Linked DNA regions of Tribolium castaneum. The protein of the gene in region 2 interacts with the protein of the main gene of each other region in a biochemical or structural test. Links are inferred from orthologs where the notes say so. Each region holds a gene or a part of one and is shown on either strand. Other genes may lie near its edges.

Region 1 (4,348 bases), about 8.2 Mb from region 2:
TAGATTTTCGAAATAATAGATTTTCCAGGGTATAGGTAGCGGTTTTATCAAATTTGAATTCAAAACATGTGTTAAAAAAATATTTTTATTTAACGTCGTTTTTACCGTGTTCATCATAGTCGTTCTTAATTTGTGTTTTAAGAGCAAGCTAAACTAAAATATTTCTAGCGAAGGTCGTTAAATCGATCAAGTATTTTCTGTTACCAAACGAAACTGTCTATCTTTGCTTTTGTACGCATCTCACGCACAAACAAAATATTATTGTAGCGCTTTAGTAGATTCCCGTTGAATACATTTTTATCTCAAAAAAGGTAATATTAAAAGAATTAAAAATTAAATTTACCTACTTATGTGCTACCTACTAGTAATTTCTATTGACACTTAATTAAAAGAAATGATTTAAGACAGGTACAAAGATAGAAAAAAAAGCAGGTAAAAAAGGAGAATTGAAAAGTTATGGTAATCCAATTGTCTTTGTTTATAATTTATTATTAATATTGTAATCTAATAAAAAATCTAAACTATTATTCTTGTGTGTCGTTTTGATTATGGAGCGATTCTTACTTATTTTTACATAATTTTCTCTTCCTTATACAGCGTTCAAAATGATGTTGCCAAACTTTACGGTGTTATAGAGGTCACTAAGATAGAAATGTTTTGCTGATAAACGCTGATAAATGAGCCGTTTTGCCTCTAGAGTCATGTCTTTGTCCAGAAATGATTACATTCAAAAATTCCCATAAAACTTACGTTTCATAACGTTATTTCAATAAATTGTCAAAATACCACTGCCTTATTTCATGTCAGTTTGCTCTACTTGCGTTAATGTTTGATAAAAAAGTATTTTAAACATGTATACATTTGTCAGAAAATAACAACAAACATCTATTTTTATTTTTTTTGAATATTGATTAATTTTTCCGGCGCATCCACCATTTTTTTAATTTGCAGTTTGTTAATAGTAAATTGTTTTACACTTGTTTTTCTTATATTTTCTGTACACTTGTACATTTTTGACTAAAGTTATTCAAAGTAGTATTTGGAAATGTTTAATTTGATAATTTCTCCCGGCGCATCCACCATTTTTAAAACGCTGTCTTGTTCACTTTAAGACACCAACTGGTGTCAAAAGGCGGTGGTGTGTGCATGTGTTGTTGTCATTAAGTCATTGTTAATTCCATCTTTTAATGTTTACTTCCAAGAATTTGAACGAGTAAAAAGCCTGATGATGTTTATTACATTAACTTTTAACTAAACTTTTTAAGGAACTTGGTCTTATCGTCGTGAATTTTTTTAAAATCAATCAGTCAAGGACGTTTAAAAAATTTTTATTATAACAATTTTTACACAATACTAGAGATTTCATCATTTCAATTTGAAACAGTTGTAAAATTTGGATTTTTTCAAGTCACAAGACATTCTACTTTGAAGCAGATTTTTTTTAAATAATTATTTCTTTTCAGTCCTATAACTCGCTTACGGGTAGTCCTATAACAAAAGTGCATAGGACCAATTTTTGTAGGAAATTTCATCAGCTTTAATTTTTGTAAGAAGGTGAAAACCGACAATGATTGTTTCCGTGGTATAAGAAATAAAACGAAAAATGACACACTTAACCCTCTCCCCCATCTCGAGCTCAGCCTCCATCCTCTGGGATTTTTAATATCTGTCTATCTAAAGAACGCGTTTAAAAAATTCCAACTCACTAGGAATTTTTGCCACCAACCGCCCAATTCTTGTCTGGTCTAACTTGACTGGGCTAGATACCTGATTTATAGCTGGAACACATTTTCTAAAAATGTTATAGAGACCCTCAGTAGTAACCCAAATTTCAAATTTAGATTTACATTCAATAAATTTGGTAACTGTAGAAAATTTTAACTTTATGATAGAAAAAGAAATTTAAAAAAGTATCTGAAAATATTTTGGCGTATATTGTTTTTAATTGTCTTCAGCGACTTTTAGTTTTTAAAATTAACATTGATTTCCCTGTACCAGAATTTCGGTTTAGCTCGCTCTTATGGTGTTAATGAATCTGCTGCTTCTAGTTAGGTGAGCGGACATTACGATTGCAAACATTTTAAAAATTTTCGCAATGCTCCTTAGTAAGCGTAAATATTTTTAACTTTAAATATTTTGACTATAAACATTTTAAAGGAAAATTAAATTTTGTCCAGTACTATTTTTAGTGTGGAGTGTTTTTGACTAATTTCAATTAAATAATTAAAAAACGTACGTTGGCGCACAATTCGGGGCTATTCTCACAAAGGCCGGTTATCTGCTTTGGCTGCAGCACATCATTCCAGTTTTGGGGGTCTGAGTGCACCGTGAAAGCCCCCGATTTGCAAAAGTGGCACCGAACTCGCAATTTCCCATTTTTGAGGGCTTTACACGTGGGGCAATAGACAAAAAAGTGGACTTTGCGTTGCTCGGTGGGCCCTTCCTCGTAATCATCGTTTGAAAAACTCAAATCTGATAAGGTCTCACACAGAGGTTTGCCCTCGTCACTTTCCTCAATTACGGCATTGTTTAAAGTGGGAGGGTTGGGCTTTTTGGTGATTTTGATAGCGTGGAGGGTGCTTTGTTGGCCCAAATCACATTCCTAGAATGACTAACTGGTTACGACTAGTGGTATTGAGGGCAAAACTCACAGAAATACTAATGTTGTCTCCCAGCTCTTTTCCAGCGAAAATAATCTTTACCTCGCCTGGTTTCAGTCCCAATTGGGGCGCAACGAACTCTTTCACCTCTTTTATGTCCCAGGTGGGGTCCAAATCGACCGAAAGCGTATTCCCTGTGTTGGTTTTTATGTAAATACTCAAATTATTGCTCAGCGTTTTTCTACTAAATGACAGAAATTGTAACATCTTATGCAACAAATCTTTAATTACGTTGATAATAAAACTCATCATCTGTGGTAACCGCGGCCGGGCTTATTTTTAGAAAAAAACATTTTTTGTGAGGAAATTTCATAACCTCATTCTTGGGGATTGTCGATCCGTTACGTTGGTTGTTGTGTGAAAAATTCCAGAAACGTCAAAACAAACAAGATGGGGCAAAGTGACGACCCATACGCACAAGTTTGCAAGGGAAAATTGCAATTAAAAGGTGATAACAGCATTAAAAAGAAAAAGAAGAAGAAAGATAAGAAGTTGTTAGAGCAAGTGAGCAAAATTGTCGAAAGTGAGACACCGGAATCAAAGCCTGCGAGGCAAAAAACAAAAGCCGAACTTGCGTTCTTAAAACAGCAAGAAAAAATGGTAAATAAATCACATTTCGTGTTAAATTTGTTGCCTGATTGTTACAATTTGCAGCAAACTCAACGCATCTTGGAAAAAGCGTCAATGACACACAAAGAAAGAGTAGAAAAATTCAACCAACACTTGGACGGGCTCACGGAACACTTTGACATACCTAAGGTCTCTTGGACTAAGTAAAATATTTATTTAAATAAACTTCTTATTTACACTAGTGTGATCAAGGATTTTCTTCAAATTCCTTGCAAAACTCTCATTTGAGAATTTCTCCTGCAACACTTTGCGCCCCTTGAGCCCCATTGCCTTGTTATCCGACTTGAATATCCTGTACATGAATTGCGCTAAACTGTCGGGGGTCGGTTCGCATAAATAGCCCGTGTTTCCGTGGTCGACTGTCTCTCGGGGGCCCCCACTGTTGCACGCAATGACGGGCTTAGCCACCGTCATTGCCTCGAGGGGGACAATGCCGAAGTGCTCCTTCACGGGCGTGTAAACGAGGCAGTCACACGCCATCAGAAGTTCCGTCTTGACGTCATCGGGGGGCGACTTGAGGAAAATAATCTTGTCTTGGAGCCCCTTCTCAGCGACGAGTTTCTCCAAGTCGGTGAAATAACTGGCGTTTATGGACGATTGGGGGTCGTAGCCCCCGGCCATAACCAAGAAAATGCCTTTACGTTCATTTTCCGAGGTGATTCTTTGCAAAATTTCCATCGCATTGATGGCCAAGTCCAGTTTCTTGGCGGGATGGAAGCGGTTGATGGAGAGGAAGACACAGGCGGCGTTTTGGGGTATTTCTGGGATTATTTGGTGGATTGGTCTGGGGTTTTTGGTGTTTTTGACGGCTTCTAAGAACGAGGAGGCCACTGTGGGGTACACCACTTGTACAGTCTTTGTGATTTGGGGGAAAGTCTCCCGGAAGACCGAAGCCGTGTACTCACTATTCACTAGAATGATATCAGCCCGAGCTGTGGACTTTAACTCCAACCAGTTTATGGGCTTCCTGTAGAAATTTTTTAAGGCCCCCCCTGGCGCACTGGCGAGCAAGTCCGGGTGGTGACAATAATAGATAACTTTTTCGCCGAATAATTTCA
Region 2 (4,198 bases):
TCATTTCGGACGCGACAGGAACCGCTGGCTTGTGGATCTTACTCTTCTGTGTCGTTTGTATTTTTATTAACTTATTGTTGTTGTTTAAAGTGATTTGCCAGTAATTTTGTTCATTGTTACCAAATTTCTATTACCATTAAATTGTTGAACGATTGAAACGACTTTTCTTAAACCCAAATATATATTTCAGTGAGTAATAGCAGTAATGTACAAATCAAGTGTTTTTATTTCTATAAAACCGAATCTATAGAAAGAAACACTAACCATAATCACAATCTAGCAGTCTCATGTGTCTAACTAAAACAGCCCTCGACCTCGCAATAAATAGCCTTAAGTTTAATCAAGTTCGGGAAGATTTTCCTGAATCCAGTGAAGCGCATTTCTAACATTTGCTAACTTAGCTCTACACAAAAAACTAGAAATCAACAAATACTCGGGATACGTCCTCCTCCAATTCCTTGTAAATTTCTCCCCAAAACTCTTATTATTGATTTTGCCCTCGCACAAAACCTTCGTCGTCAAACTCAACAACCACTGCAAAATCTAAAAACAAACGAATGACGATTGCTATTTTACCTAAACAAAAGACAATCACCTCGCCACTTGTTGGTACTTTCAAGCCCGGCTTTAGCCACGTGCTAGGTGCCCACAAAAACAACTGACAAACGTTGGCCGCAACTTCCGGATCGAGACGCTATTTTGAAAAATAATTTACCCTTAATGAAAAACAAAAAAATCATTACCAACCTTATTGGGATTGCGCTTCAGGAGATTGGCCACCAAGGCTTGAATCACAGTTGGCACCTCGTCGGGCAATTTCGGTAAATCCCCCTCCTTGTAATTAAAGTTTTTCAACCGACTTGGGCCATAAAATGGGTTATGACAGTTGAAAATCTCGTAAGCTATGGCTCCTACGGCCCACAAGTCGGCTTTGGAATAATTCAAGACGCTGAAAGTGCCCGGTTTTTGGCAAATAATTTCGGGGGCCATCAATGCAGTGTTGCCACCCTTATCCATCTCATAGCTCGTGTAAGGGAGCGACAACCCGTTGGTTTTATCAGCAAGACAACACCCAAAGTCGCTGATGACTAAAATGGGGCTTTCGGGTTCGCTGGTGTCGAGTAACAAATTATCGGATTTGAGGTCGCGGTGTGCTATGCCGTGAGCTGTCATATGAGCCACGCCTTCTAGCAACTGGGCGAGTAGGAGGAGCGATGTGCGGGTTGATGGAGCTGTTGAGAGGAAACTTTGCAAGTTGCAATCGTAGCGTTTCATAAGGAGGAACAGCGACATGTTCCGGCCTTCGCCCTCGGGGTGGAGTCTCGGGGGCAGAGCCGCGGGGTACAAGTCCTTACTACCCTCCAATTCTTGGATTAAATCAGTAAAAACGGAAAATATGGCAACGATATTGGGATGCGGTGGCAGATGTTTCCGCCGATTGGCCAACTCGATTTCCCAATTGTTCAAATCGTGGTTGCTGTAATACATCCTCGCAGGAACCGTTTCGCGATACATGGCCTTGAGGATTTCCATAGAATTTGATTGGATGTCGTAGTTGAACATCATTTTCAGCGCGAATGGGTATTTGTTGTCGTCGGTTTCGTCGTCTTTCACTTTAGCTGAATAAACCACGCCATTGGTGCCTTTGGCTATCGGTTTGCCCAATGAGAGATCGTTTAAAGTGATCGGGTTCGATTCGAATCGGCTTTCGTCGATGTCGTAATACTGCCATTTGATTTTCGAGATGGCTTCGCGAATTTCCCAACACACACCTTCAAGTTCCTCTTCTTTGGTTAAAATTCCGGTACCGGAAGCTATGCTCACGCCCACTAGGGCAAAAAACGGGGCGGAGTCGCCGAATAAGATCCTGGAAAATGAAAAAGTTCAGACACGCCCACCGTGACCACGCCCACATATAGCATTATACATATGTATAAATAAAGCGTGATTACATAGCACGTTTGATTGTTGCATCAAAGATAAAATTAGCTTGAATAAAAAATTAAAGCTCAAATTCCTAATACAAGTCTTATCAAAATTGTGTTTACTGAAAATGTAATTAAGTTATAACAATAGAATTTTATGTTATGTATCGACGTAACTATTAAAACAAATGAATTACCAGCAATTATCCTAAACTGAATTAAAATCAAAGAAGGCCTTGAAGCCATCCTGCGTTAAATAAAAACACAAAAAAGCACCACTTTTAAATGTGGTTTTTTAAATGATGATAATAAATCACAATTAAATTAACACTCTGCCTTTCGTAAATTGCTAATAATTAAGAAAAAAAAGCAAAAATTCACATTTTTGTTTATGCAATGTCACTGATTGTCACAGCCAACTTTGATTTTTTTAATATTGTTATCCTTACCTTCTGGTGGCCTTCTTCCTCAGCTCGGCCGAAAGGCTGTTGGTGACCCTATTAAGCACATTATCGATCAGAATCCGCCTCGCCTGCAGCCCCAACTGGACCCCCACATTTCTCAGCGCAAAATTCTTGGGTATCTGGGTTTTGGGCAACGAAGACGGGGCTGCTGTTGCTTGTGAAACGGCATTAATTTTGTCGCCAATTGTGGTATTAAGGTCTCTTTTACAGAATTGTTGGATAAGACTTCTACCATGTTTAAATAAGCGGCTGCCGACGGCGCGTACGGACATTTTGTACCGCGTGGAGGGACGGCACCCTCAGCAGGGCACTCGGAGAAGAATCAACACAAAAAACACACGGGAAATTTGATTTTTAGAGAAAAATTCCGCACTTTGACATTTCGCCCCCTTGAGGCACGACTGCCATCTTTATTTTCAAACTCGGGAAATCTGGCCCAATCACCAACAGGCGTCTGCTCAGCGTCTTTGTCTATTTTATAAGCTAAAAAGAGAGAGACGAACCGACGCAAGTCGTAGATACGCCACAATTGCATAAAATTTATTTTTAAACTTTTTGCGTCTTAAGTTATGACTTTAAGATAATTAAAACTTTACTCAAATAAGCCAAATTGGTGTTATGCTTCGGAAAGTAGGGTAATTTATCATAAAAATTATATACTTGATGAAACTGCAAGTCTCGCCCGTAGATGGCGCGTTGATTGTTTGAAAAAATAGTGGTCTATAAATGTTTAGTTTAAATAAATATACACTGTCCTAGTTTTAAATTTAGCCTAAGTTATTAGGAAGGGGTAATTTTAAATAAATAATTGCGTAATAAAAGTCGCACAGTGCCTTATTTTCATCTGTTCTAGATGTCAGCACATGGAAAAAAAAAGAATCAACGGTTATTATTGACAGTTGACACCTGTCAACAATGAATTTAAAATCAGTGATAAAAAGCTAAATTTCGCCAAATACAATCACTTTCCGTTAAGTTTTCCAAATCCCTAGTCATTATTTATTCACCATGAAGTTCCCCAGTTGTACTAGTTTTATTTTAGTGTTAATTTTACTTTTCTTCAAAACTTGGCAAGTTCAGACAGGTTTCACCGATTATGTAAAAACAATAGGAAGTTATTTTACGTTCACCGAACCCGAAAGTGATTCTGTCGGTGAATTCGTCCAACGAATTCCCTACGAAGTGTCCACAGTCGATGAAAAATTCATATCAGAGGCAGCCAAGCTCACAGGTGTAGCTTTATCAGAGCTAGATTCATGCCAGCAAAGAGTAAATATGGTTTTTTGTATTTGCAACCCTTACTAACTTATCTAGAACAGGTGGTACTGAAGCTACGCTCTGATTGCGATAAGATGAACGACGAGCAGCTGGCTAAAATGGCAGTACATCTCCTAAACTGCCAATCGTACGTTGAAGGGCGCCCTATTTTTCCTTGCACCGATGACATGAGCATCCGCGACTGCACCGGAAGCATGGACTCGGACACGTGGACGAGCTACCACCTCATGAGTAACCGTGCAAGAGCCGTCTGCTACACCATCAGACAAATGCAGTTCCGCGGAATGGCAGAACACTCCATAAACAGACTCATGGACACGGCCCGAGACCAACTCAAAACCCTCGGGAAAATCGCGGAAAATCAGCAAGATCTGCACGACATTGCTGAACAAACGCTCAGTTCGTTAGCGCAAGGTCACGAGATTTTGACCAATCAGCAGCGAGATATCCAAAGAGCCCAGTTCCACGGCCAGCTGGTCTTGGAAGATAATATCCGCAAGCTATCACAAGAGAAAGAGTTGATCGTTGATA
Region 3 (3,112 bases), on a different chromosome or scaffold from region 2:
GAAGGAGCCTTTGGTGGCAAGACTAGTTGCATCATACGATGTGGACCAATTTTTGTCCGATTCCGGGTGTGGCGCTGCAGATGTAGCAAAATACAACTGCTTTGTGCATATTGTTGGTGGGAAAGACGGCACAGTTTTGACCCCGTCTAATTACTTTTTCCCTTCAAAATTTAAGGAAGCTAAACTTAAAAACTCCAATGTTGAGGTAATTTTTCCGGGGGATTAACCGATAAGAGCTTTAGCTTTGTTTTAGATTATTTCAGTTGATATGATTGACGCGAAAGGCTTGCGCTTCCACGTGTGGGTGAAAGCCGACGCCCCTAGTCTTTTCGTTTGGTTGGACCCGCACGATATTAAAGGCCACTTTCTTGAAAACGGTTTTATTCAACACTCTCTTGTTACAACAGTCACTTTTATAGCAGATTCACCAACAACAAGCGAAGATTTGAAACAAGCGCTTACAGTGACTCATCTAAGAGACCCTAAGTATTTTATTTCACGGAAATAAGTAATACATGAATTAATAATTTTATTTAATTCATCAATTATAAATAAAGTGTCTTTTAAACAATCACAGTGGCTATTTTAAGTTAACACGACTGTGTTGTATTAAAGCCGTAATGAAGACAACTCAATTGGTTAAATACTAACGATTTAATGTGTATATAATGGCAATAAGCGGGCCACAATCAATAACAACGCACTATTAAGTAAGTTTATGGAATCGAAGTTACATTAAGTTTATCAAAGTAATTTAACAAACCTTGAAGCCGTTTCTTTACCCGTTTTTGGTCGTCAACGGTACATCCTAACAAAGCCGATTCGAACTTTTTATCCGTGATCCCGTGCACCACATTCGAAGAACAAGCATTCATGAAGGTTATACATCTAGCTTTTGCACTTTCAGGATCCGATTTCACACACATTACAAGACTGTCTATCAAATGATTCACTTGGTGCAAGGCTTCTTCTTGCATCTTATCACGCTGAGTTAAAATCTTCACTTCCACCGTGAGGCAGCGGCTCATGATGCGCTCAGCGTACTGGCAAACATCATCCCTATCATCTTACAAATAATTAATTACGAACGACTTTTACTTTTGGTATACTTACTATCCGGTAAGTCGACTATTAAATCAGTGTTTCTAACCGAGTCCAGGGATGACAACAAGTGGTCCCGGTCCTCCTCCAACTGCGCCGCTTCCCTCCGCAACTTCTCAACATGACTTTCTAAGATATCTAACAGTTCTAAAACCCGCTCTTTGGGCGATTTGGGATCCACGGTGTTGTTTTCATCGATCCTTGGCAATCCTGAGTACGTCAGATCCATTAAGAAGCCTGAAACTCGGGCTGTTAGTCAAACACAAAAATTTTGACATAACCTAAAAACATATTGATAAGAAGGATTTATTACCGGATGAAGTACTCGGAGATGGATCTATGTCCATTCTGTTGCAGCTATCGTTGCTGGTTGACGCCAGTTTATCTAATAATTTTAAATCAATTTGATTCAGCACAGGAACAACTCATTGGTCATTTGATTCAAAATCTAGAAAGTTCCATTACTCCTTAGTCCCACTAGTTCGAAACCGCCTCGAAAAACGCAATCAATACAATAAAAAACGCCCCAAAACACCATAAATCTGCTTAATTGTACTTTCATTACCATTATTCAATGTTTATCGCTATTAATTCGCGGCTTTTAACGCATTTTTTTAAACCGAATGGCCATTTGTTCAAAGAGACAAATGGTCCAGCGAAATGATGCAAAAAACCTTAAATTAACATTTATTTTAAAATATAGAATATACATATTTACAAGTTGATTGCACTGAGAAATGGCACGAGAAGTGCTTGTTCCAAATAAATTGAGCAAATAATAAAAACGACAGGTACTTATTTAAACTAAAATCTAACACTTGATCTTAAATAGGCGTTTGTGAATAACTTAATACAAAAGATTATACAAAGTGGTGCTCTTTCCTGTGCTCACCCTTGCATGGGCACTGAATATCACTCAATACTGCGTTAGCAGGTCTTGCGTTTCCTGGACGAGGACGCTAAACGCGGGCCGCTCGTGGGGGTCCGCGTGCCAACACGGATATATAATCCGTATATAGACAGCTTGTGGGCACATTGGAGGACACGGAAATCTATAAAAGGCAACGATAAAACCAACGAAGTCAGCAACGGACCAATACCTGGCCCCGCTCTCCAAGGCGTTCAAGAGAACTTGCTGCTCTTGACCTCTGACTTCCTCCTCTCCCAGATTCGACAATTTCGGCTCTTCGCCCCAGTTGAACATTTCGCACATTGTGACACCGTACGACCAAACGTCGGAACGCACGGAAAACTTGCCGTCTCGTAAACTTTCAGGCGCGTACCTAACAAGACCAAAGTAATTCAAGTCGTGATTTTTCGCTAATTACCATTTAATCGGCAATTCCCGGTTTGTTTTCAAGATGTAATAGTCATTAGTGCCAATGACTTGCGCTAAGCCAAAGTCGGAGATTTTGACGTGGTTTTCGTCAGCTACCAAAATATTCCGGGTGGCTAAGTCCCGATGGACGATGTTTTTCTTGCCCAAATAATTCATTCCCTAGTCAATAAAAAATGTTATTTGATAAGTTGGTTAAATAATAAGGCCACAAACCTCAGCAATGTCAAGCGCGAATTTCAACAACTGTTTAATTTGCAACGACTCTCGATTGATTTTCAAATAACTCTGCAAAGAGCCATGATGGACGAACTCCATGACTAGGGAAATATCCGGTTCCCGGGAAACCCCCAAAATTTCAACAATATTCCGGTGCTGCAAAGTCTTCATAATGTTAATTTCCCGTTCGAAGTCTTGCAAACACGCAGACACAGTTGACGATTTCAGTTTTTTGATTGCCACGATTCTCGGTTCAATTTCAGGATTTCCGGGATATTCCAAAGTTCCTTTATACACTTCCCCGTAAAACCCTTGCCCAATCCTCCCTTGCAAAACTACACTACAGTCTTGGTCCAACTCAAGTATACTTTGTAACGAATTGATGCTATCAAGCGACGTGGTCACTGTCGAAAAATTGAAATTCGACAGTATGTTGGAGAAATCGCAAGAATATGT

The links.
Region 1: of the proteins of Pink1 (region 2) and park, one has a biochemical effect on the other in vitro, tested with the Homo sapiens proteins (12 studies listed by BioGRID, with this or other methods). The link is inferred for Tribolium castaneum from reciprocal best matches to the Homo sapiens genes PINK1 and PRKN.
Region 3: the proteins of Pink1 (region 2) and BAG family molecular chaperone regulator 2 form a complex in vitro, tested with the Homo sapiens proteins (2 studies listed by BioGRID). The link is inferred for Tribolium castaneum from reciprocal best matches to the Homo sapiens genes PINK1 and BAG2.

Annotation. Positions count from the first base shown.
Region 1 is NC_087398.1:11,672,223-11,676,570, forward strand, and holds the start of park (E3 ubiquitin-protein ligase parkin), read right to left. Parts: upstream 2,913-4,348; coding exon 2,652-2,912; intron 2,603-2,651; coding exon 2,237-2,602; intron 1-2,236. Other genes in the region: protein FAM32A, read left to right, coding at 3,051-3,260, 3,315-3,437; alpha-1,3/1,6-mannosyltransferase ALG2, read right to left, coding at 3,447-4,348. UniProt on the Homo sapiens protein: Functions within a multiprotein E3 ubiquitin ligase complex, catalyzing the covalent attachment of ubiquitin moieties onto substrate proteins. Substrates include SYT11 and VDAC1.
Region 2 is NC_087398.1:3,464,545-3,468,742, reverse strand, and holds the start of Pink1 (serine/threonine-protein kinase Pink1, mitochondrial), read right to left. Parts: upstream 2,848-4,198; 5' UTR 2,662-2,847; coding exon 2,375-2,661; intron 1,868-2,374; coding exon 748-1,867; intron 695-747; coding exon 596-694; intron 544-595; coding exon 337-543; 3' UTR 105-336; coding exon of another isoform or gene 1-104. Other genes in the region: zinc finger protein 346, read left to right, coding at 1-104; protein brambleberry, read left to right, coding at 3,398-3,658, 3,709-4,198. UniProt on the Homo sapiens protein: Serine/threonine-protein kinase which acts as a sensor of mitochondrial damage and protects against mitochondrial dysfunction during cellular stress.
Region 3 is NC_087396.1:11,144,962-11,148,073, forward strand, and holds BAG family molecular chaperone regulator 2, read right to left. Parts: upstream 1,631-3,112; 5' UTR 1,449-1,630; coding exon 1,415-1,448; intron 1,339-1,414; coding exon 1,114-1,338; intron 1,067-1,113; coding exon 717-1,066; 3' UTR 513-716; downstream 1-512. Other genes in the region: beta-mannosidase, read left to right, coding at 5-205, 254-508; hop (tyrosine-protein kinase hopscotch), read right to left, coding at 2,018-2,153, 2,202-2,384, 2,430-2,599, 2,654-3,112. UniProt on the Homo sapiens protein: Co-chaperone for HSP70 and HSC70 chaperone proteins. Acts as a nucleotide-exchange factor (NEF) promoting the release of ADP from the HSP70 and HSC70 proteins thereby triggering client/substrate protein release.